Lonchura striata: one gene and its partners. The protein of the gene in region 3 purifies or fractionates together with the protein of the main gene of each other region. This does not show direct contact. Links are inferred from orthologs where the notes say so. Each region holds a gene or a part of one and is shown on either strand. Other genes may lie near its edges.

Region 1 (8,007 bases), on a different chromosome or scaffold from region 3:
TCAATCTGCCTTACCTATGTGGATAGGCCACCTTACTTAGCCATCAATAGGAGCATGTAAATTATGTATGTTCAACAAATCGTGTGGAAGGTATTATGAATGATTCACATTGGCTCATCCTACCAGAACGTCCTCCTTCTTTCTCATGTCCAATGAATCTGGAAAGCCAAGTAAACATTACCATCTTCTCCCAGTTGGGATATTTATAATATCTCTCTCTTTATTCTCTGACATCTAATAAGAGGCATGCTCACATTGCAGTCCTCTGCTATTTAATTAAAGACAATCAGTAGGGAGACACAAATCTACAGAAAAACAGTCTTTATTAACTTTCCTGCCCTCGGAGTTATTTGTTTGCTTTCTGCCATATCCACAGACAGTGATGTCTGAAAGACATATGAGTTATATGGATTTAATGCTGAAGACAGGAAAAGGAAAGATACCAGGGCACTCAGGTGCTGGCACTGGGTTGGAGTGATCACAGAGCACAGAGTTTTTATGTATATTATGGGCCCAAAATTTGTCTGACCCAATTGTACATTACACCATTAGTGATGGCCCAGTCTTTCTGGGAGAAGAAATATGCAGATCCCTCTCCCTTCCTCTCAGATAATTTCCTCAGCATGGCAGTGGAGCTGTATTGTAGTTATGACTCCAATTTCAGACACTAATAAATTATAAAGCAGAACTTTCCATGTTCTGCTGCCATAAAAGGGTACCAGACAGAGGTGAGAAATCCAGATCTGGGAAAACTTAAATTCACCTTCCAGATCCACTGGAGTAGCAGATAGGATTCAGAAGCTGACTTAAAGTACATTTCGCTGCAGCCAGTCCTGACTTTCTGAAAGAACACAACATATTTATTGAAAAGTTACAGTTAATTAAGAAACAAATTTTAGCTATGTACTGATACTGGTTGTACTGATAGTTTCATATAACTAACAACAGCTCTCTGAAGGACACCCAGACTGTCCTGATGGCAGGGCTGTAGGGGGACTCAGCCATAATGGTGGACAGTGCTGTCTCCAGCTGCTTGCCTCCAGCCTTTAGCCAGAGTTATCCCCATGAAGAGATACACAAGTGCCTTTTAACCCATTTAAGACAAATTAGTTGTAAAGCTTACGCACCTTGTTTCTCACAACTTGATTCCTTTGGTTGCAATGATGCAAATGAAGAAATGCTTATATAGAAGACAGAAACTCTTTGCAAGGTGTAGTGATAGGTAGATGAGGACTGGCTAATGATCAGTGACTTCTACTAATACAGCTATTTATAGAGTTCCTATCTTTGTCACTCCAACTATCATCCCTGCAAGGTTTTGTTTTTGGTGTTTGTTTGGTTGGGGTTTTTTTGGTTTTTTTTGGGGTTTTTTTTTCACATTTTACCTGGCCATTTTTTCGGAACCAAATTCACAGCCAAGCACCAGATGCTGTGATATGATCCTTCCCAGATGTAAAATCTCCAGAGGTTCCATGTCTACAAAAGAAAAGCTACCCAAGAATATCCTATTTCATTTAATACTAGTCTTGGAAATCTTTCATCTGGTCATTCCAGTATAAAGTGTAACCAGACAGTGCACATGTGCAGTTTCACTAGAAAGTGAACAGATATTTACAACCCAGGGAACAGAGGAGGCCAGAAGCCCTAGCAAAAACAAACACACAGACTAGAAGTCATAAGTTTGGTGCTTCAGAACAATAGTCTGAGATTATTCTGTCATTTAATGTTGCTGCCTAGGATTTAATTTTCCTGGTTAACACAAGTTTATTTTTAAAATGCACTGGAGCAAGCTCATAGTTATACAGCCAGATCTATCCTGGCTGACATTACAAGGAAAGGAAGACAGACGTGATGACACAGGAATCTTTCTGATCATAGCTTCCTCTGCTTTATACCTGCTACCACCAAGCACTTGCCAAAAACCTTTTTTGTGTATGTATTATGCAGGATTAGCTATTTTCTCCCAGTACTCCCATGACAACTCATCTGCTTTTGAAAGCAGAAAACCTCTCCACAACCTTTTCCCCTACTTTGATCTAGGACACAGAATAATAGTATTTAAGATTTAGTGGGAATTTTCCACCATCTGCAATAGGTGATAACCTCTCAAGTGCAATGCATGAACCAAAGTCAGAAAATTAAGTGTCCATGTCATCGAAGGAATGTGGGAAAAGGAAAAGGAAGGGAAAGCAATACAGACTTGTGTGTTTTATGACTACCTAGAGTAAAACAAATCACGTAAATATTGCTTCTTTTCCCAGTTTGATGTAGAAACTTGTAAAGCTCTGATTTCTGTAAACTGTATGGACTTTCAGAGAAGCACAGTATATTGAGTTGGAAGGGACCCATAAGGATAATTTCAATGACTTTTAGGCTCTGGGAAGTTCTGCAAATTTAACCAGGTTCTTGCTTTGCTTTCTCTGGTGTTAAATACTTCACTTATTCATATTGTGTGAGATCCCCGGCCTTGCTCTGGGGTCTCATGTGGTGGTGAAATACCTCTTCCAACCCGTGCTTCCAAAGAAAAACTCCACAGGCTTTAGCTGTTCGGTCTCAAGGCAGTTTATTGCTAGTTATCTAACAGATTATGTTCTTGGACTGCGGCTATTTGATCAGCGGCCCAAGCAGAGACACACACACCCTGACACCCTCACTGTCTGCTGTCTTCTTTGTCTCTCCCCCCGCCCAGGGCTGCTGCTATCTTTTATAAGATATATTACATATAACATGTTTACAATTATTCCCCAATACCTACTACCTATGTTGCCAAGTGTTTTTCTACTCTAAACCAATCTGTGAGTGCCAACATCACCAAGAACATGGAGGTAAGGAAAAAGAAGGAGGAAGAACAGGATCAGCCCACTTTCCTCCATCTTAGAACTTCTGACCCCCATGTACAAAGTGAAAACCCCCCTGTACATGTGTTAAAACCCCCCTGTACAATACTAAAAAAATTTCCCCTCTACTTTGTAATTACTTTTACTATACTATCTAACCTTTTGTGACTGCTTGTTCCACTTCCAAAGTTGGTAATTCATTCCATGGCTCAAACTCAAAATCACAGCTGTTTTTCAGCTGTCTGCCAGGGTCTAGAATGCTTCTGACCAAGGCCTGGAATCTCTGAAAATGTCTGAAAGACATTTTGAGTTCCCACAATATTGGAATAAAATAATGATGTCCAAGATTGGAGAAGGAATACCTTCCTGGGTTCAATGACTGATTTCTGTTTCTCAGCGATGTTTCACATTAACAAAACTAAGGGATCAGGGAAGCTGGAAATAAGAGCAATAATAGATACTTTAGCATTTTTTACTTAATTGCTGAGTGTATAATTTGGGTAACTTGCACGATTACGTGGCTCTGGTGTGCTCAGCCACCACTCACACCTTCTGCATCAGATCTCTGTGTCAAACTGGCTGGAGACAACACTGAGTCAGAAGATCATGCCTCAGCAGAACTGCCTCTGGAGGCTTCCTGAAGGCAGGGCACGCATTTGTAAAAAACCTGGCCTCTTTTTGAAAACCCTGGGAAACGCAGATCTTGCTCATTCCTGTTCTGGGCTGTGTCCAGTTCTGGGCCCCTCATTACAAGACAAGGAGCTACTGTAGAGGGTCCGGCAGAGGCCACAAAGACTGGGCATCTCTCTTATGAGCAAGACTGGGAGCTGGGCCTGTTTAGTCTGAAAACTGAGAGGGGATCCCATCAATACATATGAGTATCTCAAAGGAGGGTGTTAGGAGGATGGTGCCAGGCTCTTTTTTGTGGTACTTAGTGGCAGGACGAGGAGCAACGGCCACAAAATAAAATGCAGGAAATTTCACCTCAACATGAGGAAGAACTTCACACTGAGGGTGGCAGAGCACTGAACAGGCTGCCCAGGGAGGTCATGGAGTCTCCCTCTCCGAGACATTCAAAATCCATCTGCATGCATTCCTGTGTCACCTGCTCTAGCTGACCCTGCTTGGCAGGAGGGGTGGACCAGATGATCTCCAAAAATCCCTTCCAAGCCTAACGATTCTGGGATTCTGTGTGAGTCCGTTTTTTAACAACCTTCTGTCGACGGGGCTGTGCGGGGGAGCTGCCCGCCAGCCCCGGAGCGCGGCACAGCCCAGCGCTGGGCACCCATGCCTGCACAAGCCGCGCCGGAGCCGCTGTGCCCGGACCGCAGCGCTCGGGGCACTGCGGGCACTCGGGGCGCTGCGGGCACTGCGGGCGCTCGGGGCACTGCGGGCACTCGGGACACTGCGGGCACTCGGGGCAGTCCGGGCACTCGGGGCAGTGCGGGCACTGCGGGCACTCGGGGCACTGCGGGCACTGCGGGCACTGCGGGCACTCGGGGCACTGCGGGCACTCGGAGCACTGCGGGCACTCGGGGCACTGCGGGCACTCGGAGCACTGCGGGCACTGCGGGCACTGCGGGCACTGCGGGCACTCGGGGCACTCGGAGCACTGCGGGCACTCGGAGCACTGCGGGCACTCAGAGCACTGCGGGCACTCGGAGCACTGCGGGCACTCGGGGCAGTGCGGGCACTCGGGGCAGTCCGGGCACTCGGGGCACTGCGGGCACTGCGGGCACTCGGGGCACTGCGGGCACTCGGGGCACTGCGGGCAGTCCGGGCACTCGGGGCACTCCCGGCACTCGGGGCACTGCGGGCACTCGGGGCAGTGCGGGCACTCGGGGCACCCCCGGCACTCGGGGCAGTGCGGGCACTCGGGGCACTGCGGGCACTCGGGGCAGTCCGGCCCCGGCCCCGGCGCAGGCGGGCCCGGGCAGCGGGCGGGCCCGGGCAGCGGGCGGGCCCGGGCAGCGGGCGGGGCCGGGCAGCGGGCGGGCCCGGGCAGCGGGCGGGCCCGGGCAGCGGGCGGGCCCGGGCAGCGGGCGGGGCCGGGCAGCGGGCGGGCCCGGGCAGCGGGCGGGCCCGGGCAGCGGGCGGGGCCGGGCAGCGGGCGGGGCCGGGCAGCGGGCGGGGCCGGGCCGCTCCTCCCGGTGCCCGTGATCCCTGCGCCGTTCCGTAGCCGCAGCGCAGGGGGGCGGAGGAGCGGGACGGAGCCCGCCCCGCCCCGCTGGCGAGATGGCGGCGCAGAAGATTAACGAGGCGCTGGAGCACATCGCGAAAGCGGAGAAATAGTGAGCGGAGGGCCGCGGGGCGGAGGGTGCGGGCTGCGGGGCGCTGGCGAGCGGCTGCCAGCTCGGCACCCGCGCGGTCCCGGCCGCCCGGCGTGTCCCCTCCTGGCCTGGCAGGGCGGCTGAGGAGGCTCCGTGTGCCAGGCGGCGGCGCACCGGGAGAAGGGCAGGGAGGTGGGGGGCATGGCTGCTCGGCCCCTCCTCTGCCTGAGAGGAGCCTCCGTACCGGGCTGGGTGCTCTAGAGGGCCTGCTGCCCCCAACGGCGACAGTAAAGGGCCCTAAGACTAAACAGTGGGGTCCGTGGGCGGTGTGGCTCAGTGGCCTGGAGCCCGAGCAGTTCCCTTCAGGGCCTTGTGGCCTCTATTGCTCCGACGCTGACAGCAAAGAAAGGGCTGCCACGTCTGCCCTTCTGCTGAAGTTAGTGGGAGGAAGACAAGTCACAGAATCAATTAGGTTGGAAAAGGTTTCTGAGATGGTCGAATCCAACCTGTGACACAACACCACTCTGTCAACTAGATCAGGGCACTGAGTGCCACATCCAATCTTTCCTTAAACACCGCTGTGGATGGTGACTCTATCACCTCCCTGGGCAGCCCATTCCAATATCTAATAACCCTTTCTGTGAATAATTTCTTCCAAATGTCCATCTTAAACCTACCCTGGCACATCTTAAGGCTATAGACAAGTGTGAGAAAAGAGTTATGGAGGCTGTGTTGGGTAAAAGGGCTTGACTTTGCTGAGGTGGTGGGTGGTTGTTCTCTGCCCTTGAGAAATCTGTGATTGGTGCTTCTTAGGTGCCTTCAAAAACCTATACTTATCTTGGAGAGCTTTCTCTTTAACATCTATGATAGTCTGTTACTGGGTATTTTAATACCAAATATAGCCATTTTGCTTGTAAGTCTGAATTGCACAGAGTACAATATAGATGTAATAGAGCTGACTAATCCAAGGATGCCATAGTTTTAGTAAGAGTAGTGACAGGCCCTCTGGATATCATGGATCAACTGTATAAATTGGCATAGAGGGAAGGCTTTGAAGTTGAAAAAGCCTGGCATATCTTACTCAAGTTACTTGACTGAAAGTGCCCTCCAGCAGAATTAATTTTAAGCTTATCTGTAGAGCACTTGAAATTAAAGGCACTGAGACCTCAAATTGTGTGTAGCTTGAGTGCATTGTGTATTTCAGCTTGATGCATTTGAGACTCCGACTGTGATAAAAATAGCACAATATATAGGCTTGTGTTAGAGTTACACACTCTGGTCATCATCCAAGTAAGACAGCAAGGCCACCTTAGTATCCATATCTACAGCTGTTTAGCCAAGTAAAGAATGTATTGCATATGATGTATTGGCCAATAACAAATATACAAGCAGACGGTAAAATTATGGTAATATTTTAATTTCTTTTAGAAATGAGAGAAGTCAGCATATTGAATTCCAAGTTGCCTAATCACTCAACTAATTTTCCAATGTTCATTTTCCTCTATGTATCTATGCCTTTTAGTGTCATGATCTATTTTAGACATATAAATGACATGTGAATCTTTGTGTTGGTAACTAAATTCTTTTATTTGTGTATGCATTGGAGAGTCTTTGATAAATCTCAGAAGCAAAAAAAAAAAAAAATCCTGTAGAGGAATGCTGGAAACTTCCTGATGTGTGAAAAAAAAAAAATATTGTCAGGTGTCATGCTATTAGAAATCTGGAGATACCATGTTGGTGTAGGAGGAAGTGTTTTTATTCTGCTGACTTCTTACTGCTGAGAAGATGGAGTTGGGAATACTCTCTGGGAACAGTAGAAGCATGTTAGGTGAGGATGGTAACTGGGAGATAATTGCAGTGCTTTATGCAGTTCTTACCAGTGCTGGCATTTGTTTTTATGGTACAGATGCCACCATAGTATTGGCACATCGGTAATTGCTCATTTCCAGGGGTATTCTAAAGTTTGAAATGTATCTGAAGTGCCTTTATGGTAAAACATAAAATCTTTACTAATTGCTTCTTGCGTTTTAGCCTGAAAACTGGATTCTTAAAGTGGAAACCAGATTATGACAGTGCAGCTACTGAATATGGGAAGGCAGGTATGTGGCAGTAAATATGGCCATATATATTTAAAAGTATTCATCAAGCTGAGTCCCTTATAATGTTTTATGTATTTTTATTACATTACTGTGTAAGTATAACTGTTGTGAAGACTAAATGGAAGATGAAACAACAAAAAATCCTCTTGGTATCACTATAAAATAAATCTCAGGTTGTACTTGGAGATCTAGAACAGTTTCCAAAACCAATTTCTTTTTTCAAGCTTGCAACTTCTATTTTTTATATTGCTATACGTGACAAAAATAAAGCTTTCTTTCCTTCTTTCACTTGTCCACCCCCAAATCCTATGACTTTATCTACAAAACAACAGACGTTCAAGCTGATTTTAAAATTTTGCTTTATCATCACCTTATGAAATATGTCCTGTCAAAGACTGTCTCCGTAAGGTGAAATGCTGGCAGATTATTTCAGGCACAGTAGAGTCTCATTCCTCCCTTTTTCTACTGCCAAGACATGCTAAATATAAAATCCTTACTTGCTGATTTCTTTTTGTTCTTAAGCATTTTCTTCTTTCTCATAGTAGTAATTTGTCATGGTCTTCTGGCTTCTTACTCTAGGCATTCCTACTATTCACCTAAGACTGAATAAAAAAATACAAACTTGGAAGAACAACTAGAGAATTTATAAATGGAAATTTATTTTAAATCTTTCTTTATATTTAATTAGTTAAGCAAGATAGAAATACATATTTGTACTCTGAAATTATTGTGCTGACAAAGATATGGGTATGCCTTGTTGGTGGCACATTTCTGACTTCTTATAACTCCTAATGATTAAAA
Region 2 (7,785 bases), on a different chromosome or scaffold from region 3:
CCATGGGACAGATGATTTTATGGAGGAGTCAGTCACCCGTGCAATGTTTCCACAAACACAACCCCGGAGAGTTCCAGCCCCAGAAAGGCTCCAAACAGCACCAGCCCCATGTTCCATCGGGGTTTGGGCTCCTCAGAGGTGCCACTGATGGCAGCAGAGAACTTTGCCCTCCATAAATACAGACTGAGCAGCAAGTTTTTATTGGTCTTCTGTTGTTGAGGAGTATCTGTGCAATTCTGACACTTCACCATCCTGAAAGCAGGAATTTAATCTGCACCTCCAAACACTCCACAGCCAGAGAAAATCCTGCTCCCAAATCCCACTTATTGGGGTTTCTGAGACCCCTGCTCAACTCCTGCTGAAGTGAGGCAGCCATTCAGCAGCACTGGTTATTGTGCACAGCCTACACACTCTTCCTCAGAATTTCTTCCTAGGAAACATTTCAAAAATGACATTTGATTTGAACACCTCTCAGCAAAGTGAGTGGCCCAGCAGATCCAGTGATCAGGCACTGCATTACAGCCCTGATACAGAGAGGGGGAGAAAAAGCACTGCACCTTTGATTATGCCAATTATTAAAAACTACCAACTCAAGGGCTTGCAGCAATTTTCACCTGAACACAGCCAAGGGAGCAGGTAATGACTCAAAGCTGCTCCTGAAGGAAAGGAGCCCCAGGGAAAGCAGTCTCCTGAAAACCCTAACTTTATTTTATTTCTTACACAGGGAGTGTGAAAACGTGGAGGACACAACATTCCTGGGGAAGCTCCAACTGCTGCTTCTCATTCCTGTTAACTCTGGGCTTGCATTCTGTGAGAAATGCAGCTAAAACACGGCTGCAAGATTCCTGTTCCCTCTGACCTGCAGGCACTGCAAAAGGCAGGAGCCAGCCCTGGGGGAGGAACATCTGCTCCCTGCTCACAGACAGAGGGCACAGAGCAGCTGCTGAGCACCCCAGAGCCTCTGGACAGCTCCATCCCAGCATCCCAACACCCCTGAGCCACTGGACAGCTCCATCCCAGCATCCCAACACCCCTGAGCCACTGGACAGCTCTATCCCAGCATCCCAGAGCCTCTGGGACAGCTCCATCCCATTATTCCTGATCCCTGAGCTTCTGGGACAGCTCCATCCCAGCATCCCAACACCCCAGACCCTCTGGACAGCTCCATCCCAGCATCCAAGAGCCTCTGGACAGCTCCATCCCAGCATCCCAACACCCCTGAGCCACTGGGACAGCTCCATCCCAGCATCCCAACACCCCTGAGCCACTGGGACAGCTCCATCCCAGCATCCAAACATCCCAGAGCCTCTGGGACAGCTCCATCCCAACATCCCTGAGCCACTGGGACAGCTCCATCCCAGCATCCCAGAGCCTCTGGAACAGCTCCATCCCATTATTCCTGATCCCTGAGCTTCTGGGACAGCTCCATCCCATTATTCCAATATCCCTGAGCCTCTGGGACAGTTCCATCCCAGCATCCCAGAGCCTCTGGGACAGCTCCATCCTGGAATTCCTCCCCGCACCCCGGGAATTCCTCCTCGCATGCCGGAATTCCGCCTCCCGAGCCAATCCCGGCCCCAGCCCCGCCGGTCCCGCCCCCGCCGGGGCACCTTGGCCGAGCTCTCCCCGCTCCGCTGGCAGCGGCTCCGCTCCTGCAGCTTCTCGGCGATGTCCTGGGCCAGCTGGCGGGCGGCGGCCAGCTGCGGCAGCCTGCAGAGCGACAGCGGGATACTGGGATCGTGGCGTGGGATAATGGGATGGGATCCATGGGATGGGCTGGGATGGGATGGGATCCATGGGATAGGATGGGATGGGATCTCATGGGATCAGCCAGGATGGGCTGGGACCCACCCGGAACAGCTGGGATCAGCTGGGATCTCATGGGATCAACTGGGATCTCATGGGATCAGCCGGGATGGGCTAGGATGGGCTAGAACCCGCCAGGATGTGCTGCGACCCGCCGGTATAAGCCTCGGGAGGGGAAAGCACAACACCCCCAAAAAACCACACAGCCCCAAAGCCTGGGATGGGCTTTGGGAAAGGAGCCCGGGAAGGGCAGAGACAGCCCCCAAACACAAACACACCGGGATGGGCTTTGGGAAAGGAGCCCGGGAAAGGCAGCACAGACCCCAAATACACAACCACACCAGGATGGGCTTTGGGAAAGGAGCCTGGGAAGGGCAGAGACAGCCCCCAAACACAAACACACCGGGATGGGCTTTGGGAAAGGAGCCCGGGAAGGGCAGAGACAGCCCCCAAACACAAACAAACCGGGATGGGCTTTGGGAAAGGAGCCTGGGAAGGGCAGCACAGACCCCAAATACACAACCACACCAGGATGGGCTTTGGGAAAGGAGCCTGGGAAGGGCAGAGACAGCCCCCAAACACAAACACACCGGGATGGGCTTTGGGAAAGGAGCCCGGGAAAGGCAGCACAGACCCCAAATACACAACCACACCAGGATGGGCTTTGGGAAAGGAGCCTGGGAAGGGCAGAGACAGCCCCCAAACACAAACACACCGGGATGGGCTTTGGGAAAGGAGCCCGGGAAGGGCAGAGACAGCCCCCAAACACAAACAAACCGGGATGGGCTTTGGGAAAGGAGCCTGGGAAGGGCAGCACAGACCCCAAATACACAACCACACCAGGATGGGCTTTGGGAAAGGAGCCTGGGAAGGGCAGAGACAGCCCCCAAACACAAACACACCGGGATGGGCTTTGGGAAAGGAGCCCGGGAAGGGCAGCACAGACCCCAAATACACAACCACACCAGGATGGGCTTTGGGAAGGCACAGACCCCAAACACAAACACAAACACAAACACACGCACACCGGGTCGGGCTTTGGGAAGGCACACCGCGCCCCGCCCGGCCCCGCTCCCCGCACGCTCCGCAGCCCCCGCGGGGCGGCTCCCGGCCCGGCCCCGACCCGCAGCCCGGCCCGGCCCGGCCCGGCCCGGCCCGGAGCTCACCAGGGGTCCGGAGCCATCGCGGCCCGGAACCTGCCCGGAGCTTCCGCCGGATCCGCCCGGGCGCGCAGGCGCCGGGAGGGGACGGAGGGGAAGGGAAACGGGAGAGGGAAATGGGAGAGATGGGGAGAGAGGGGAGAGATGGAGAGATGGAGAGAGGTACCGGGGCTCGGGCCCGGGCAGCGCAGCCGGCCCCCGAGGGGCGGCAGTGCGGGGAGCGGCGCCGGTGGCGCAGCGGGGAGGGCAGGGCCGGTGCTCGGGGCAGGGGGGCCGATGTTCGGGGTTTGCAGGGACAGAGGGGCAGGTGTGCAGAGTGCAGGGACAGCTGCAGATGTTCGGGATAGAGGGGCAGATGTTTGGGGTGTTCGGGACAGAGGGGCAGGTGTGCAGAGTGCAGGGACAGATGTGCGGGGCGTAGGGACACGTGCAGATGTTCGGGGTTAACAGAGGTTCCATGCACAGAGGTTTGCAGTACAAGGTGCAGAGGTGTTTAGGCTGTTCAGGTGTAGATGTGTGCAGATGTGCACAGCACACAGCCACAGCTGTCCCCACCCCTCCCTGCTGCCACAGAAACCCAGCGCTGAGCGGTGGCACCGGTTCCCTCTCCAGCGCTGTCCCCTGTCCCTGCCCATCTGCGGGGACAGCCGCTGCCCATGCCGATGTCGCCGTGCCCCGGTCCCGGTGCCACTGGAGGTGTTGGCACTGTCGCTGTTTCGGCTCCGAGCCCTTCCCACCCCTGATCCACCGGGGTTTGCCCTCTCCCTTTGTTTTTGGGGGCGACCGGTGACGCAAATGGGGCACAAACCCGAGGAGTTTGACAGAGCCAGCGAGGCTTTGTCGCCCTCGTGATGCGGGGCCGTGCTGATAACGGCAGCGATGACGGCAGCGATAGGGACAATCATAACAATAGTGATAACGACATTGATAACGAGAACGAGCGCATCTCCTCAGCACGTTGTTCCCGTTCCGGGGCTGATCCCTGCTCTGCTCCCCCATTCCAGAACTGATCCGTGTTCTGCTCCCCCGTTCCAGAACTGATCCCCGCTCTGCTCCCCTGTTCCAGAACTGATCCGTGTTCTGCTCCCCGTTCCAGAACTGATCCCCGCTCTGCTCCCCCATTCCAGAACTGATCCGTGTTCTGCTCCCCCGTTCCAGAACTGATCCGTGTTCTGATCCCCGTTCCAGAACTGATCCCCGCTCTGCTCCCCCGTTCCGGGCTGGGCTCTGTCCCCTGGCCCGTCTCTCCGCACACCCGGAGATGCTCCCGCAGCCGCGGCCATCAAACATTCATGGCCTTCGGCTTGCGCTGCTCAGCCCGAGCCCCACGGCCTCTACATCTTTCATATTTCACAGGCAGGGAGGCAGGTCAGGAACAACCTGCAGCTGCTCTTATCACACCAGAAACAATCCGATTTTAAAGGCAAATAAACATCTTTTAAAAGCTTGGGATGCCTATAAAAGTGCCCGCTGAGCACAGCCCGAGCTGGGAGTTCTGCGGCAGCGCTGCGGGACCGGGCCGGTGTCCCGGGAGCCTCTCGCAGCTGCTGGAGCCGCTTTTCCTCCGGCTCAGCTCTTCCGTGCGTGGGCACAGCGCTCACTGCGCGTTCCGAGGCTGGCACCGATCGGTGCCAGCCACTGCCCGGGGCACACCGGGGCCGCCGGAGCCCACGGCCGGCCCGCAGCAGCCGCAGCCGAGCGGGAGCACGAAGGTTATCCTGGGGAAAATAAAGGGCTCGTTTACTGCTCGTGTTGCTGTTTGATGCTATCTCGGCCCACGGGGTGTTTACAGCCCCCGGCCGGGCCCGGCGCGGAACCGGGGCAGGAAGGGGCGATGCGGGCGCGGAGCTGCTCCACCCTCGCTGTGTTTACCCCAAATAAACCCCGCGGCCGCGGGCCGGCCGCACCTTAAGAGCGCGGGCAGGTGCGGGGCAGAGCGGAGCCGCGGGGTGGCCGGGCTGGCCCATGCTGCGGGTGGGCTCAGCCGGCCCCGCTGCCCCATGGCCGAGCCGGCCGCGGGCGAGGACGCGGGCACCGGGCGAGGTGAGTGCGCCGGGCGGGTCAGAGGGGCTGGGCACAGCCCGGTGCCTGCCCCGAGCCCCGCGGCTCGTCCGGGGCGGGCAGAGCCGGAGCCTCCGTTCGGCGCCCGGGGCCGGGCACCGGCGGGGCTCGGGATGATGCTCCGCGGTACCCGGGCAGCGCCCTGAGAGAGCCGAGGTGAACTTGGGGCGCAGACAGCCCCCGACTCAGCGCCGGTGCTGTCTCAGGCTGGTTCCTGCGGCCAGGAGCCCCCGTGACCGTGCTGGGGTCGGGCTGTGTCCGGGACAGGAGCGGCTCCGGATGCAGCAGCTCCGGCCCTGAGCCCGGCCCGCTGCTCCTGCTGGGCTCGGGCAAGCGCCGAGCTGAGCAGGAGAGCGAGAGCCGGAGCTGTGCCACCACGGGCTGTCCCCGTGTCCCCTTGGCTCAGCAGAGCTCACCCGGGCGGGCTCGGCTCGTCCCGAGCTCCCGCAGCCCCGGGGAAACGCCGCTCCCGTCTCCCGGCGGAGCTCGGGCTCGGCTCTGCCAGCGCCGGGCTGGGGCTGCCCGAGCCCTGCCCCGGGGCTGGCAGCGTTCGGGGGGTGAAAAGCCCCTCGCGGTGTGAGCAGCAGCCCTGACACCCAGCTGGGACCTGGCCCCACACTTCTCGGGGCCCGGAGCTGATGGAGAGGGCAAAGCCTGAAACGCTTCCCTTTGCAGGGGAGAGCAAAGAAATCCAGGACGGACGTGGCTGTGAGGCTCAGAGCACCCCGAGCCAGGCTGGGGCGGCGAAAGGTGCTCAATAAACGCTCTTTGCCCTGCAGAGATGCTCGGCTCGGCCCCGGTCACCATCGTGGTCACGTCCAAGGCCGACACCTGGGACATCGACACCTCCTCGTGCCGGGGCCGCGGGCCCTTCGTGGACTGGGACAAGATGCCGGAGCCGCGGGGGCCGGCGCCGGTGCCGCGGGACGTGCTGGGCAGGCCCCCGAAGGAGCTGAAGCGGCTGGCGAGGGAAGGCTGCTGGGCCCGGAGCCACGCGGGCCGGGCCCGGCTCTACCCCCGGCTCATCCAGCGCGTCTCCTGCCGCCTCGTCACGCCCGACGCGCCGGCCTACCGCGACGTGGCCGGCCGGCTCTTCGGGAAGCGCAGCGTCAGCTCCCACCCGCTGCCCGAGTTCCTGGAGGGCTGCCCCGTGCCCACCTACTGCCTCAGCCCGCACGGGGTCACGGCCCTGAAGAAGATCCTGGTGTGCGTGGGCGCCCTGTTCCCCGACATCACGCACAGCCCCCTGCTGCCGGCGCTGGCCGCGCTGCTGCTGCACTACAGCGAGGACGAGGCCCAGTGCTTCGAGAGCCTCTCGCGCCTCATCGCCAGCAATGCGCCCCACGCCGCCTACATCGACCAGTCCTTCCTGGCCCACCAGGCCTCCTGCATGACCTTCGGGGACCTGGCCAGCAAGCACTGCCCGGCGGCCCACAAGCTCATCGCCGGCGCCGCCGACAACGTCCTCGAGGTCTACTCGGAGTGGCTGTCGTGGCTCTTTCCCGGGCTGCCCTTCGGCTACGCCGTGCGCGTGCTGGATGTGTTCCTGCTGGAGGGCCAGAAGGTGCTGTACCGCATCGCCCTGGCCCTGCTGAAGCAGTTCCGGCTCTCGGCGGCCCCGGCCGGGCTGCAGGGCTCCGACGTCAAGGCGGAGCTGCAGGCTTTCGTCAGGAACATCGCCGAGCACGTGTCTGCGGACAAACTCCTGGAGAGAGCCTTCGGCATCCGCCTCTTCTCCCGCAAGGAGATCTGGCTGCTCCACATGGCCAACAGGAAGGCCTTGGTGGAGAGGGGCATCACCGTGGTGCAGAGAAGGTGAGGAGAGCTCTGCACTCCCCAGCTCTGGGGCCGAGCTGCCACAATGTGAGTTCCTGTGGAGAGCCCCCGGGGGAGCTGCAGGAACCTCCCAGAGCTGTGGCTGGGCTGGGCCCTCGCAGCCCCTGGGGGACCCTGTCAGGGGACACGGCACAGCCAGACCAGGGACCCTGTCAGGGGACATGGCACAGCAGAGCTGGGGGACCCTCTGAGGGGCACGGCACAGCCAGACTGGGGACCCTGTCAGGGCACAGCCAGACCGGAGACCCTGTCAGGGCACAGCCAGACCGGGAACCCTTGTCAGGGCACAGCAGAGCCGGGGATGTTGGCACAGAGCTCACAGTGCAAAGGGCAGGGCAGAACCTGCTGCAGGGGCTGTGCCCCGAGAAGCAGAGGGACCCCAGCCCGGCCTGATGTCCCTCCCCTGGCAGGCCGTCCTTCCACCTGGCCGTGGACATGCAGAAGTTCAGCTCCAGCACTGTCACGGCGCAGGAGATGCGCCTCGTCTGGTCCTGGATCCCCGAGCGCTTCTCGCTCTTCCCCCCGCTGCTGCTCTTCTCCACCTCCGAGGACGGCTGCAGCCTGCAGAGGTGAGGCCTCACCTGCCCAGGGCTGGGCAGCTCAGGCGGGCAGGGAGACCTGGGCAGGGCTTGCTGCTGGAGAAAGGAGCAGCACAAGTGACCTGGGCCACCTCTGGGGCTGCTGGGGACCCTCCTGGGCTCGATTCGGGCTCCTGAGTGTGGCTTAGGGGAGAGGGCAGAGGCTGGCCCAGGTGGCACCAACACCTGGGCACTGCCCGGGGCACAGGGAGCCCCGTGGGTGTGCCAGGCAGGGATGTCCCCAAGTGCCACCCCGTGCCAGGCAGGCTGTGGGCAGCCAGGGACAGCAGCACAGCCTGCCCAGGGCTCCAGCTCCCCCCAAGCCTGCCCTTGTCCATCTCTGC
Region 3 (6,906 bases):
TGAAATGCAAAATCCCCACCTATACATGACCCAGCCTAACAAACTAACTTTCAGACAAGAAAGCGACAGTGAGGCATAGATACCCTCAAGAGAAGTCAGTGGTGCTGAGAGCTTGTGCACTCCTTTTCCTCATCCTTTTTAGACTAACAGAGCTGTTTCTACCAGCCTTGCTATTTCAGTATCTTAAGCTATCACTGCTGCAGAAAAACTTCATTATGCTGTGTTGCCACTTTTACATTGTTTTAAAGTTACTTCAATTATTAGTGCTCTGTTTAAAAAAAATAAAAAGAAAATGCCAAGTGTTGCTTTTAGTTTCAAAACCCCCTGCCCCAGACCTGAATTTTTCTACTCATGATAGTCCAAAGATTTCACAATACTGGCACAAATGATCTTTCGAGAACAGATAGCAATGTGCACCTCACATTTTGCCTTTGTCAATTTGAAATCTTGTTGTAGCACAGAAAGGTATTTTTGACCTCCTTCTCCCTTATCTCTGATATTTTCCCACTATTTTCTTTGTGTAGGCACTCATGATCATGAAACCACACAATGAATCACATCAAACCATTAGGTTACCTGAAAAGCAAGTACATTTTCTCTCCCCAGTCCCTCTACCTTAGAATTATTTTCTGACAGATCAAGAAGCTGATCCCCTATATTCTGCAGCAGCACAGATTTTATCATTACTGAAGTGCTGGGCTCAGCACTTAAAACAGCAGTACAAAGATTGATCCAAATCAATCATGAAATCTAAGCTATCTCATCATGCAGTGAGAAGCAAGACCAAGAAGAATCACCTTTATACAGTTCCACAGGCAACTGAATTGAACTGAATTATCCCATGAGTTTAACAAGTTTCTTCCAATTCAGAGACACCCTCCTGTTTAACTTCTGCTTTCAGCCTGGAGTCTCTGCAGTTGATTAAATGTGTTGCTGGAGAAGCATCACATCCCTACAATGACCACTTCTTTTAAAAGGATGTTCAATGGCTTACAAGGGCAGCTAAGACTGCAATACGAGTTAATCAGTAATTAGCCAGTAATTAGCTTTTACATTCTCCAAGTGTATTCTCACCTAGGACTTCAGATTTCTATTAGATTATACAATGAGGAGTTTGTTGGCAACTCCTCATATACTGAGCTTGGCTTCCAGCAAGCAAGTCTGCACATATTTCACAGTTCTGTCAGACACAGGAAGGTCAGAAAAATTCAGTCAAGCTGGTGACAAACAGCACAAGGACTGCACTCTGTGTGCGGATGCTGAGGACTTGGCAAACAGCATTTGTGCCATAATGTCCAGACATTCTGTGGCTTATTTCTCTCTGCATGGGGAGATTCTTGCACAGCACCATTTCCAAGCCAGGCAAAGTCTGTCCTGCCCTGAGCCAGGTTCAGCAGTTTGCTTTGCTTAGTTTATCTCAGCCAACAGCAACACGTACAGTCTATGCAAAAAAAAGTGTCTAGAAAATGGAAGGAAGAATAAAATGAATAAAGTGTCTAGGAAATGGAAGAAAGAGGCTGGAGCTCTTTATTCTTTGGACAGTGGGTATGCACCAACACACAGAGCCCCTCAGTCAACAGCTTTCCATCTCCAAGCCCTTTTAATTTCAGGCTGTAGAGCCTTCCTCATACTTACTATGTGACAGCTAAAATTTCTTGAAACACTTCAATCTCTCCTCTAGCTGCAAGTCTGCTACATTACCTGAGCAAACAACAGTTTTGCCAGCTTTGCCACCAGTTTTCTGTACATGTTGTGTGAAATGCTCACTCCAGAGACTCCCCAAAGAAGTGAGTAATACTCAGCTGTGCACACTGTTTGCCTGCTCTTTCCCTTACAGGGGAAGAAGAAATGAGGACAGCCTTAAGGCTTCAATACAGCATCTTCTCTTGGCTTGAATGGAAAGCTTTTATTCGGTGTGTAATGAAGTTAACTACTGTAACATTAAGTCAGATGTTCTGAGTGTTCCCACCCACCTCCATAAAACTGTACGGCTATTTGTTTAACTTGAGATAACAGTGCACAGAGATAGGATGGCTGCAGGTCATGAGACAGCAGAAGCCTGTCCCATGAGAGAGAGAAGCTGAGCTGCTTAGAACAGGAGGCTCAAAGAAATCCCGTGGAAGGAAGAAGGAAGGAGTGTAAAGGGAAAAAATAAAAAGGGGGGAAAAGGGAAAAAAAACCCTCAACAAGCCATGCTACTTGGCCAACAATTCAGCAATGTCTACACCAAGGAGAAAAGAACATGACTGAGCAAAACATTTTCAGTAACATAAATGTGTTTGCATCATCAGAGAAGTCACAAGCTTTCTGAGGAACCAACATATTCAACTGATCTAGCATGGGCATTGAACAATTAGCAAAGCCTGTATCTTCAGAAAGGATTACATCAAAGACTCTCCTGGATGTTACTGCCTTCAGTGACCAGTACTGAGATTTCTATAGTTATCGTACAACACCGGTAACTTTCTCTAATGACAGGAAAAGTGCACCTGTGTCCTTAGGGACATCCTGCCGGGAGCAGGACGCTGCCAGCACAGCGAGGGGGAAAGCCGCCCGTTCCACGCCCATTGGAGATCCCTGGGACCGCGGCTGCTCCCGAGCCCGGTGACAGCCGGCGCTGCCCCGGAGCCCTCACTGCGGGCACGCGATGCCAGCGAGCGGCCGGACTGCCCGAGGTGGGAAGGGGCGGCTCGGCGGCAGGCACAGACACCCACCGAGAGCGTTCACCGCGGCTGCAGCCGGGCTGGGCATCACCACACCCGGTGCCTGCCGTGTGCCCGGCCCGGCACCGCTCCGGCGAGGCTCTGCCCATCCCGGCCCCCACCGCACCCTCACGCTGCCGGGCCGGGCCGCCCCGTCCCTCCCCGGCCGCGCACTCACTGTACTGCGCGATGCGCTGCACGTTGCCGCTGCATGTCTGGATGATGCCGCCGAAGTCGCGGGGCGGCGGCGGCGGCGCCCCGGGGCCGCGCAGGTCCAGCGGCCCGTACGACATGGCCGGGCCGGAGCGAGCACCGGCCCCGCTGACAGCGCCCGCCCGCCCGCGCCTGCGCGGCCGCCGCGCCTGCGCGCCGGGGGCGGCCGCTGTGAGGGGAGAGCGGCGGCGTGAGGGCGCGGGCGCGGCGGGAGCTCACCCAGACCCGCAGGGAGCTCACCCAGACCCGCAGGGAGCTCACCCAGACCCGCAGGGAGCTCATCCTGCCCCACATGGAGCTCACCCGGCCCCACATGGAGCTCACCCGGCCCCTCATGGAGCTCACCCGGCCCCTCATGGAGCTCACCCGGCCCCACATGGAGCTCACCCGGCCCCTCATGGAGCTCACCCAGACCCACAGGGAGCTCACCCTGCCCCACCCGGGGCTCACCCGGCCCCACATGGAGCTCACCCAGACCCGCAGGGAGCTCATCCTGCCCCACATGGAGCTCACCCGGCCCCACATGGAGCTCACCCGGCCCCTCATGGAGCTCACCCGGCCCCTCATGGAGCTCATCCTGCCCCACATGGAGCTCACCCGGCCCCTCATGGAGCTCACCCAGACCCACAGGGAGCTCACCCGGCTCCTCATGGAGCTCACCCTGTCCCTCCTGGAACTCACCCAGACCCACAGGGAGCTCATCCTGCCCCTCCTGGAGCTCACCCTGCCCCATATGGAGCTCACCCTGCCCCACCCGGGGATCACCCTGCCCCACCGACCATCACTGCCATTGTAACCTTCAAACACTAAAACATCACCTAGCGCCACATTCCGCTGCCTCATAAAAACCTCCAGGAGTGGTGACTCCACCATCTCCATGGGCAGCCCCTTCGTTGGAAGAACGGTTTTTCTGGTATCTCATGTGAATTTCCACTGTCTCTGCTCAAGGCCATTTCCTCCTGTCCTCTCACTACAGGCATGAGAGAGAAGAGAAGAGAAGAGAAGAGAAGAGAAGAGAAGAGAAGAGAAGAGAAGAGAAGAGAAGAGAAGAGAAGAGAAGAGAAGAGAAGAGAAGAGAAGAGAAGAGAAGAGAAGAGAAGAGAAGAGAAGAGAAGAGAAAGAAGAGAAGAGAAGAGAAGAGAAGAGAAGAGGAGAAGAGAAGAGAAGAGAAGAGAAGAGAAGAGAAGAGAAGAGAAGAGAAGAGAGAAGAGAAAGAGAAGAGAAGAGAAGAGAAGAGAAAGAGAAGAGAGAAGAGAAAGAGACCAGTATCTACCTAGTACAATCTCTTCTTGGGGACTTGTAGAGTCCCCTTGTAGAGTCCCCTTGTGATCCCCCCTGAGTCTCCTCGAGACTAAGCAAACCCGCTTCTTCGTAAGACATATTTTTCTAGAACCTTCATGTGAAAAACGCCAATCACTTGGTTTTTAAAATTTTAAAAGTTTAATAATAATAAAATGGTTATAAAATAATAATACAATTAGAGTAATAAAGTTTAGAGTTAGGACAATTACAAGACAATAAAAAGCAAAGAATTACGGACATCTGGATGCTCTCACACTAAGTCACGACAAGCATGACTTGTGAACAAAGGAATCACCCTTAAAACAATACACTTGTTGCATATTCATATATCCTTCATGGTTATGCATACATTCTATTTAAAACAAGAAACTCTGTTGTATGTCAACTGTTCCTTTAATCCCCATGGTGTCTTTGAGTCTGAGCAGGACCTGAACAAATTAGCTTCTTCTGATAAGAAGCCATAAATTCTTCTCCTTGGGAAGATTTAGGTGTTCCTCAAAGTGAGTATTTCATTCCTAAAAAAAAACTTCCCCCACATACATAATCTCTATTTTAACATTATGTTGGAACCTGAAACTACATTTAACACACTACTTAAGAGAATTAATACAGCATAACTTTCTAACATTACACATATAATATTCATTTCAATATTTGTGAAAAGACAATCATAAAATTTGCATTTTTCACACTTCACAAGCCTTGTTGCCCTTCTCTGGACACTCTCCAGCACCTGCATGTCCCTTTTGGAGTGAGTGGCCCAGACATGAACGCAGCGCTTGCACTGTGGCCTCACCAAGGCTGAGTGCCGGCGCCTGGCCTGGCCCTGCCAGGACAGCCAGAGCTGCAGGCAGTGCCTGTCGGAATCTGAGGTATTGATGATTCCGAGATTGTAAAAATCTCTGTCTTTCAGCCCTGCTGAAGCCATAATTGGTCTGTGCTGGTTTCAAGGTTGTTTATTCTGTTTATCTCTAACATGTTCTGCTGCCCTGCCCAGCTCTGTCCTGCAGGGCAGCGTGTGGGGCTCTGCCCTCAGTGGGATGTTACAAACATTAAATACCAGAAACTCCCTGGGCTGGATTTACAATAACGTGCCAATATCTGTCACCTACGTTGGACAGTGTGTCCCCAGCCTGAACCAACAGAAAAATGCCAACACCACAGTGAGACATGGAGGGCATGAAGAAGGAGAAAAAGGACAAGGCACACCCAATTTCCTCCATCTTGTCCCCTTTGGACCCCTAGAAACCTAAAATTTTACTTTTGCACCCGTGCCACACTTAATTATGACTTATATCAAACACTCAGAGCTGGTAATTCATCCTGTGAGATTGAAAACTCTTTTCCATGGGCAGAGATCACAGCCAGTGTCTCTGGGGGCTCTGTCCAGGGGGGTTCCTGACCCCTGCCAGGGTCCCAGACCTGCCAGGGCAGCCAGAGGGAAGCTCTGGATTCCCACAGGTGGCAGGCTGGGTCTGGAACAAATCCTGCACCGTTTGGAATTTCAGGAGAAATCCTGCACCGCTCAGAATTTTAGAGGGTGGCAGCCCACTCCGAGCCATGGGCCCCTGGACACAAATGCTGCTCCTTCCCCTGTAAAAATAAACTCACCCCACAGTATGTTGATGTCCATTTAGAGGAGGCGTTTAGCAGTGCCAGGGCAGCCTGAGTTATTGGTGGTGGCAGCTTTGTTCTGGGAGAGATCCTGTGCTGTTTGGAACTTTAGGAGGTGGCAGCACACTCAGGGCACAGCCCCTGGACACGAACACTGACCTTTTTCCATGGGAAACGAAACTCACCATCCCAGGTTCCTGATGTCAGTTTGCAGGAGGTGCTTGGCACTACCAGGACAGCCCGAGTTGTAGATGGTGGCAGGTTTAGTCTGGGAGACATCCTGTGCCATTCAGATTTTTAGGACATGGCAGCCCAGCAGAGGCACTTCCCTGTCCCTGCTGGGTTCTTGGTCCAGGAAAAAGGAGCCCTGCCAGGGTGAGGGCTGCTGTGACAGCCTGGCCTAGGGTGAGGAAGAGCCATGCTTCCAGTACTGAGCAATCCCACCAGCAATAATGCAAATGTAAAGGATTTTAAGAGAAGATCCCTTTCTGCTCCCTGCTGCAGGAGTTGTAGTATTTTAATGAAAGTACATCCAATCTTTGAATAAAAAAACTGGGGTCATGCCCTGTATGTTCTTAAGAAATTAGTGTATGTGTGCGTAAAGTAGGAGCGTAAATATTTCTTTAAAAAATGCTTGTTACAACAAAAAAATTCTAATTTCAGAAGCATCCACATCAGGTCAAAATGATGGTAAATAGGGAGCAGGGCCGTGGATGAAACTTGTGTAATAGAGTAAGAGAAGGCTCCAGGGTGGTCTTATTGTGGCCTTCCAGTGCCTGAAGGGGCTCCAGTAAAGTTGGAGAGAGATTTTGAACAGGGGATGGAGGGACAGGGCAAAGGGGAATGGCTTCCCACTGTCAGAGGGCAGGGGGAGATGGGATATTAGGAAGAAATTCTTCCCTGTGAAGGTGGTGAGGCCCTGAAAAGTAAACTTTCCCATCTGCCCACCCAGATGCCACTCTGGGAGTCACACTCATACCAACCTGCTACATTAATGGAAGTGGGATGATGGGACAGGGGAGCTTATGGGGCAGGAAAGGAGTTTTGCAGGAGGATTTAAAGTGACAGCAGTAGC

The links.
Region 1: the proteins of STX12 (region 3) and NAPG purify together in Homo sapiens (affinity purification with mass spectrometry; 3 studies listed by BioGRID and IntAct, counting the BioPlex papers as one, with this or other methods). This does not show direct contact. The link is inferred for Lonchura striata from reciprocal best matches to the Homo sapiens genes STX12 and NAPG.
Region 2: the proteins of STX12 (region 3) and STX8 purify together in Homo sapiens (affinity purification with mass spectrometry; 3 studies listed by BioGRID and IntAct, counting the BioPlex papers as one, with this or other methods). This does not show direct contact. The link is inferred for Lonchura striata from reciprocal best matches to the Homo sapiens genes STX12 and STX8.

The regions. Positions count from the first base shown.
Region 1 is NC_134603.1:52,163,430-52,171,436, forward strand, and holds the start of NAPG (gamma-soluble NSF attachment protein), read left to right. Parts: upstream 1-4,972; 5' UTR 4,973-5,072; coding exon 5,073-5,128; intron 5,129-7,138; coding exon 7,139-7,206; intron 7,207-8,007. UniProt on the Homo sapiens protein: Required for vesicular transport between the endoplasmic reticulum and the Golgi apparatus.
Region 2 is NC_134621.1:1,094,000-1,101,784, forward strand, and holds the start of STX8 (syntaxin-8), read right to left. Parts: upstream 3,036-7,785; 5' UTR 2,990-3,035; coding exon 2,973-2,989; intron 1,711-2,972; coding exon 1,611-1,710; intron 1-1,610. Other genes in the region: TBC1 domain family member 24, read left to right, coding at 4,967-5,009, 5,807-6,842, 7,274-7,432. UniProt on the Homo sapiens protein: Vesicle trafficking protein that functions in the early secretory pathway, possibly by mediating retrograde transport from cis-Golgi membranes to the ER.
Region 3 is NC_134628.1:5,437,270-5,444,175, forward strand, and holds the start of STX12 (syntaxin-12), read right to left. Parts: upstream 3,035-6,906; 5' UTR 2,996-3,034; coding exon 2,881-2,995; intron 1-2,880. UniProt on the Homo sapiens protein: SNARE promoting fusion of transport vesicles with target membranes. Together with SNARE STX6, promotes movement of vesicles from endosomes to the cell membrane, and may therefore function in the endocytic recycling pathway.